Mus musculus: one gene and its partner. The protein of the gene in region 1 purifies or fractionates together with the protein of each later gene. This does not show direct contact. Links are inferred from orthologs where the notes say so. Each region holds a gene or a part of one and is shown in the gene's direction. Other genes may lie near its edges.

What was found.
Region 2: the proteins of Mmp2 (region 1) and Col5a1 purify together in Homo sapiens (co-immunoprecipitation; 3 studies listed by BioGRID and IntAct, counting the BioPlex papers as one, with this or other methods). This does not show direct contact. The link is inferred for Mus musculus from reciprocal best matches to the Homo sapiens genes MMP2 and COL5A1.

What each region holds. Positions count from the first base shown.
Region 1 is NC_000074.6:92,837,249-92,841,065, forward strand, and holds part of Mmp2 (72 kDa type IV collagenase preproprotein), read left to right. Parts: intron 1-2,004; coding exon 2,005-2,160; intron 2,161-3,141; coding exon 3,142-3,283; intron 3,284-3,817.
Region 2 is NC_000068.7:27,948,764-27,952,580, forward strand, and holds part of Col5a1 (collagen alpha-1(V) chain precursor), read left to right. Parts: intron 1-863; coding exon 864-995; intron 996-1,863; coding exon 1,864-1,995; intron 1,996-2,523; coding exon 2,524-2,763; intron 2,764-3,509; coding exon 3,510-3,683; intron 3,684-3,817. UniProt on the Homo sapiens protein: Type V collagen is a member of group I collagen (fibrillar forming collagen). It is a minor connective tissue component of nearly ubiquitous distribution. Type V collagen binds to DNA, heparan sulfate, thrombospondin, heparin, and insulin.

The sequences.
Region 1 (3,817 bases):
GGAAGACAGGTTCCCTGCTTAGGTCCAGACAGTTTAGGTGGACATTCATACAGCTTCAAAATGAGATGACTAGGCACTGACCCTGAGTGGGGATCAGCCCTGCTTTTGCATTTCTTACCTACCACTCCAGCTACCCTTCCAGACAGGACTGTCACTAGCAGGAGTCATTGAAAGACCTTACTGTTGGTCTTTGAGCTGGGCAACCTTCACTGCCTAGATGCCCAGGACTTCAGTGTTTCAGGTAGCCCAAAATGTTTAGGCAAGGGGATGGGTCCAGGATCTGGCAGAATTAGGTGGGTTTCTATTCTAGATTGATTTTTGTTGTTGTGAATGAACACTTAGGGAGGAAAGATCTACAAAGAGGCTTACACTCCCAGATTGAGGGAAGTCAGGGCAAGAACTTAAGGTGAGAACCTGGAGGCAAGAACCATGGCAGGATAGCACTGTGTAGTTAGCTCACAGGCTGATGGCAGGATAGCACTATGTAGCTAGCTCACGGGCTGACGCTTAGCTTGCTTTCCTGTACAGCCTAGGGTATATGCGTAGGGAACGGAGCTGCAGTAAGCTATGCTCTCTGCATCTATTAATAATAAGAGAGTTCCTCGGCAGCATGCCTGGAGACCAACCTGATGAAGATCAACAGTCAACTGAGAGTTTTAACGATGACTCTAGGCTGTGTGGCATGGAGAGTTGATGCTCACCGGGACACTCTTCCTTCTGTGATGATTGCTTTTCTCTTGTATTGAGGTGCACTTTGGTGAATGCTGGCCAAATGAGGTTTTCTTAGGAATTTTTTCTTGCCCGCCAAAGGCTATCATAGGAGATAGTCTGACACCCCTGCTTGGTGCAACTTCTGCCTATGGTGAGATCTCCACCCATGTGAAGAGTTTGTGGCCACTCAGGCTGCCACGTACAAAGCATAATATACTGGTGGCTTAGGACAACATAAACTGACTCTTCCCCTAGTCAGAAGGCTGGAAGTTTACAACCAAAGTGTCTCTCCCCATCCCCCTACCCCCACCCCCATGCCTGTATCACCTTATTGCCCGCTTCAGCCATTATATGTCACTCTCTGGTCCCTATCGGTCCCTTTGTCTCTCTTCCTAAGAGGTTGTAATCCACAGTGGGTTAAGGGCTCGTTGGCTGCAATGAGGGTAGCATTTTAACTGATTCATCTATTTGAGACAGGGTTTCACTATGCAGCCCAGATTCGTCTTAAGCTCACAACCCTACTTCAGCATGTCAAGCACTGGAATTATAGTTAGATATATCATTCTTGGCTCTGGCTTCCATTTTGGTGATGTCTGCAAATAAGATGGCATGTCCTAGGTAACCAGGGACAGAATTCTATTTTATACTATCATCATCATCATCATTATTATTGTTGTTGTTGTTGTTATTGTTATTGTTATTGTAGTGGGGCTTGTGGGATAATTGAGTCACAGCACGGAGGGTGTGGCACACGATTTGCCTGCTCTCCATGGCCAAGCCTGAGCAAGCCATACAGGCATGAATATGTTTTGTTTCAGTTTCCCCATGGGACTGGATTTGCTGGCATACACTAGGCGAATGTTATATCATCAAGCTGCATTCCCAGGGGAGTGGCTTTTACTTCCTTCCCTGGGAAGAAATGGTGAAACCCTGAGGCCAGACTCTCCCTCTCACTCTTCTTCTTTGAGATCCTGAGCAGCAGGTTTTGTGTCAACTCTCACAAAGGGCTAAAAAGCATGCTTTTTCACAGATGGGACTTGAAGCAGATGCCCCTTTCTCTCGCCCTCATACCACATGCAGCCATCATTGGGAAAAGGCAAGAGGATGCTGACTGGCCTACTCAAAAGCAACAGCACTCTCAGCACAAGGGAAAAACCAATATGTGCCACTTCTAGAACTTTTAGCTCTACCCTGGAGTTGTCCTCCCCCAAACCTCCTTCCTATTAAGCAAGTCTTGATGCCTGTCTTATTTCTCTCTTGAATTCCACCTCATGTCCCTGCTTTGGCACTCAGGATATAGCCTATTCCTCGTGGCAGCCCATGAGTTCGGCCATGCCATGGGGCTGGAACACTCTCAGGACCCTGGAGCTCTGATGGCCCCGATCTACACCTACACCAAGAACTTCCGATTATCCCATGATGACATCAAGGGGATCCAGGAGCTCTATGGTAAGCCGCAGCTTGTGGGACTCTGAGGGGAGAGGTGTCTTCGAGGATCCCACAGCCTGGGTGGGAAGACGCAGGAGTGGAAAATGCCAGACCTCATCTAGTTAGAATGGCCAGGGACATCATCAGGGGACATGGCTCGTGCCTGGTCCTCAGGCTTTAGAGTAATGCTCCAAAGGGCTTCTGAGACAGCTCTGTCCTTTCTAGACTCTAGTTATCCATGCCTCTCTTGGTTCCCATTTCCATGTGCTAGGTATATGAACTGAGGCTAAGAAAGGCGTTTAGCCCAATATCAACTAGGTTTCAGCAGCCAGGTAGGGTTTAGGATCCAGAAGAGGGAGCTGCCTACAGGGCAGAATTTTCTCTGGCGTGAAATGGGTGTTACTAGTTCTTGTAAGATGCTCATGTTTCATTTTGCCATAGAAACATAATAACTGCTTCCTGCCACCAATGATGGCCTATTGTCTGCGCTTTCAGTGAGGTTAGAGGCTAAAAAGCAGCCAGTCAATTTCTTAAAAAAAGAAATCAATTATATAATAGTCCTAGTGGTTCCTGGACCAAGCGCGTGGTGAAAGTGAAACCTGGATGGGGAAGCTCACGGACTCTGAACTTGGGAAAGAATCAGAGATGCAGACATTGATGGGTGACATTGCAGTCCCGCTAAGGCTACATGCCAGCTGGAATGATGCAACTGTTCGCCTCCCTAGACTCCACTGTTGCGCAGCCTGAGGAGTACAAAAGCAAATCCTTAAGAAAGTGCCACACCTCTACTGGCACCAGCCAGCCTTCTCTGTTCTTAAAGTAAGAGACCACACAAGAGTCAAGCGTCTGGTCCCTTCTCTAAGCTCAGGCTCTACCCAGGTAGACTGCTCTTTTTTTTTTGTAGCCTTAGCCAGTTAAGTGAGTAGTACAGGGGTTGAGCCTGGCGATGAGAAGCCTTGTTGCTGGGTAGAGTCTAGGGTCAGGTGTCTCCCCATTCCCTAGGGCCCTCCCCCGATGCTGATACTGACACTGGTACTGGCCCCACACCAACACTGGGACCTGTCACTCCGGAGATCTGCAAACAGGACATTGTCTTTGATGGCATCGCTCAGATCCGTGGTGAGATCTTCTTCTTCAAGGACCGGTGAGTGAGGTTGCTTTTGTCTTTCTTACCCTCTAACCTCTGTCCTTTCCCATTGTTCTTGTGCCCCCACTGTTGTGGAGGGCTCCTGGAGCCTCACAGAATGACCTGCAGTAAGCAGTTTTTGCTTGTGTCTCACAACCCACAGCTCTTGGTAGCTTACAATTCAAGTGGCTCTCTTGAATTCTGGGTCAACCAGATATCTAAGCCTTTGAATCAGCAGGTCTGATATATTCTACATGCCGCTCATTCTCCCATAGTTTGCCTATACTTGTGGTAAATGACAAGGTGTTAGAGGCTAAATCAAACCATACTCATACATTGAAAGATTTCATCCATGCAATATCTGAGAATCTTCTACCAGTGAATTCAAAGAACATTACTAAGCTGGCCACCCCAGTCCACTTCATCCCAGCCTTTAAAAGTCATAATGTGCTAACATATAGCAAGGCACATATAGACATGATTCTAAAGTAGGACAGAGAGAAGAATGTAGGGGAATTAGTCAGTCTTCCATTGGCCTTCTCTCAGAATGCT
Region 2 (3,817 bases), on another chromosome or scaffold:
GTATGTGTGAGTGTATTGGCCTGAGTTCTTTTCACCTTTACAGGTGAAATGACTTGAGAAAATTTGTTCCAGTGTTTGCTCTAGTTTCCAGGTTTGGAACTTCTGGGTCATGTGGTAATTCCATGTTTAACTCAATAAAAAAGCAAACATTGCATCTTAAAGAAACATCCCTCAGTACTGGAGGCTGATGGTGACAGGGACATGCCCTCCTGATTCTAGGGCAGCTGCATTTATACTTGGTAACTGCAGTAACTGTGAGCACCAAGCTAGCAAGTGTGCAAGAGGTGTTTGGTAGATGGATGGATGAACTATGGTGGATGGATGGATAGTTGAGTGAATTGTGTAGAAGGATACATAAGTAGATGGATGGGCGGGTTAGTAGCTGCCTGCCTGGCAGGCTGTTGGCTAGATGAAAAGGTGGATAAATGAATGAGTGGGTGACAGCAGGGGTGGGTGGAGGGTTGATTAATTGAAGGGTAGATGAGCAGATAGGTTGGTGGGTAAATGGATGGATGGATGGATGGATGGATGATGAGTGGATGGGTAGGTGACTAGATGGATGGACGAATGGATGGATGGGTGGGAAGGTGAATAACGAATGGTTAGATACTAGATGAATGGAAGGTAGATAAGAGCATAGGTGGGTGGGTAAATGGATGGGAAGATGAGTCCCTGGATGGGTTACTAGCTTAAGTAGCTCTTGAGAGCAGCGTCTGCTGGGAAGAAGTGTGCTCCTGAGGATAGCTCCTTGCAAGGTCTCTTCTAGGCTTCTCTCCTGCCCACGACATCAGGCTGGACCCCCGAGTTCCCAGACCCCCATGGGTGTCTGCATTGTTTGCTCAGGAGCTCTTGTCTGTTTGCAGGGTGACATCCAACAGTTGCTTTTCGTCTCTGACAACCGAGCTGCCTATGACTACTGTGAGCACTACAGCCCCGACTGTGACACTGCGGTCCCTGACACACCTCAGTCACAGGACCCTAACCCGGATGAATATGTGAGTCATCTCTGGCTGGGTTCATGGTGGCAGCACAGGCGGAACCCCAGGATGGTTCAGAGTCGGCAGGGTTGTGGTTATAAAGGATTCTGGAAGCCAGAGGACTGAGTTTTCAGCAAACTGTAGGGGAAGCAGTGTATGATGTCTGACCCACCTTACCACAGAGGAGCTCCCCCTGACCCACACATACCTTGATCAAGTCTCTCAAGGGAGTGTCATCAACAACTGTGTCCCTTAGCTCTCCATATGCATCCTTAGATGAATGCAGACAGACAGTTGTCCTTTGCCCTCAGCCTGTGGCCTCAGTTGTTTTTTAGAGCTCGGTTGATTCCCTCATGGGCACCTGAAATTTTTTAATAGGGCATGCCCGGCCCTGTGTATATTGGACATGACTCCGAGAAACAGTAAGTCTGAAGGGCCGCCATGTCTGTCCCCTTGGTCCCTCTCCTCATTTCCCACTCTGCTGGGTCACTCTCCTCATCCCCTGTGCCCTCCTCCAGCCCCCCCCCCCCAGGTCCCTGGTTTGTATTTGAGGACAGAGTGCCTGTTAGTGACTGTGAACCCCTTTCACTGGGCACCCATGCTTTGGGGCTAAAGGTGAACTTTGCTGGTCTGGGTTTGATTTTTATGGGTCACATGTAACCACTTTTAGGGCTCAGCTTTTGCTGACCTCTCAGTAACGTGTGGGGTCATCCTTCCCCATGCTAGGCTTCTGGGGAGAGGCTGAGGCAAGAGCCCTATCTGAGGACCCCTGGGACTTGACAGTGCCTTATGGCACTGCTTTTTCACCCAAGTAGGACAAGGTGGTTGATAGGCTGCTTTGGTAATACATTCCTTTTCTTCTCCACATGGGCACCATTGACCTCAGTACCCAGAAGGAGAGGGTGAGACCTATTACTATGAGTATCCATATTATGAAGACCCTGAAGACCCGGGAAAGGAGCCTGCCCCTACTCAGAAGCCAGTGGAAGCTGCCAGAGAAACCACAGAGGTTCCTGAGGTCTGATCTGGACTGGGCTGGGCTAGGGAGGTTCCTGGTTCCCCTAGGCCACAGGGTTGAGAGCCAGAGGCTATGGGCATTATGGCACACTAATAGGACATTGTGGACCTATAATCCTATCCCTTGGGACGATGAAGTAGGAAGTAGGAACTCATGAAGTAAGCATGAGTTCTGGGCCAGCCTGGGCTACAGGGTAAGAGGCCACCCCATCTCCCCCCCGCCCCCTCATACACACATGGAAGCTTAAGCTGTTGTTGGATATCTGGAAATATCCTGATATGTCACTAGATGGTCCTTCACCAATTCATGACATCTTGGTACCTGATCTCACACACACACAGACACACACACACACACACCACAATGGTTGCCTCCCTCATTTTCTCTGCCTTCCAGGAATGGAGGGCCTTCGTGTAACTCCATGCCCACACTTTGCTGATCACTGATGTGCTAGGAGGATGCTGGCTTGGGAGCTTGGGAAATCCTGGATCAGGTATCTGACTGCCTCTTTCTACACTCTGCCCACAGGAGCAGACCCAGCCCCTACCCGAAGCCCCTACAGTGCCTGAGACCAGTGACACGGCTGACAAGGAGGACAGTCTAGGGATCGGGGACTATGACTACGTGCCCCCAGATGACTATTACACTCCACCCCCATATGAAGACTTTGGATATGGCGAGGGTGTGGAGAACCCTGACCAGCCCACCAACCCCGACTCAGGGGCTGAGGTCCCCACCAGCACCACTGTTACCTCCAACACCTCCAATGTAATTGCCTTCCTTCCAGTTTGTATTGATCTCGGGGGCAGGGGTGGAGAGGGGGCAAAGGCTTCGTGGCTCTGGGTCACTGCTGAGCACGAACCTCCTTGGGTGGCCTTCCTTGTCCACACTCCACACCCTGGCTCCCGAGTCCTCAGTAGCAGGGTTGAGTGTGGTTTAGAAGCCATTGGCTTTTCTGAGTTTATTTCAGTTCCCCCTGAAAAATGGGTAGAATATCTCCGTGGGCTCTGCATTCTTGCTCTCAGGGTAGCTCACATAACACTGTAGTTTTGGGATACAGGAGTTCCATCCATGAACATCACTGGTGGTTACCCATGCTACCAGAATAAAGCTCATAGCCCACTGTGTTCTTCACTATTGGAAAGAGCCCCAGTTTCCAGTGTGCAAACTCTTAATCAGCAACTGAACGCAGACCTCCCCAGGGATAGAGTCAGCTTTGAGGGACACTGTTGCTCCTTCCTGCCCTGACTTGTTATAGTGTCTTAGGTAGCCTGGAGAACCATCCCCATGGTGGCCGGGAGGTATGCAGAGAACCTTTGGGGGCCACAGGTCTTCCCTCATGGAATCCCCCTTGGACTTTATCTTTAGATGTTCTGTGGTGGGGCCACTGACAGCTCTATGCAGGAAGTGCTAGGCTCAGTGCCTGCTAGGCAGAGCCTGCATGTGGCCAGGCAGAGCCTGCATGTGGCCAGCCTCCCAGAGTGACTCTGCCACTTCCCTCCCTTAATCTGCAGCCAGCTCCAGGAGAAGGGAAGGATGACCTGGGCGGCGAATTCACCGAGGAAACCATCAAGAATCTAGAGGAAAACTACTATGACCCGTACTTTGACCCCGACTCCGACTCCAGTGTCTCTCCATCAGAGATAGGGCCAGGCATGCCCGCTAACCAGGACACCATCTTTGAGGGGGTAAGAGACTCAGCTTCTCTCTGCATCCCAGGGCATCTAGGTGGTGAGAAAGGGCCAGCGCTTTTAGAAGTCTGAGGGTGACTGAGTGAGGCAAGAGTGACATGGGCTGCCATGCATTTCAACTATTAATTAAT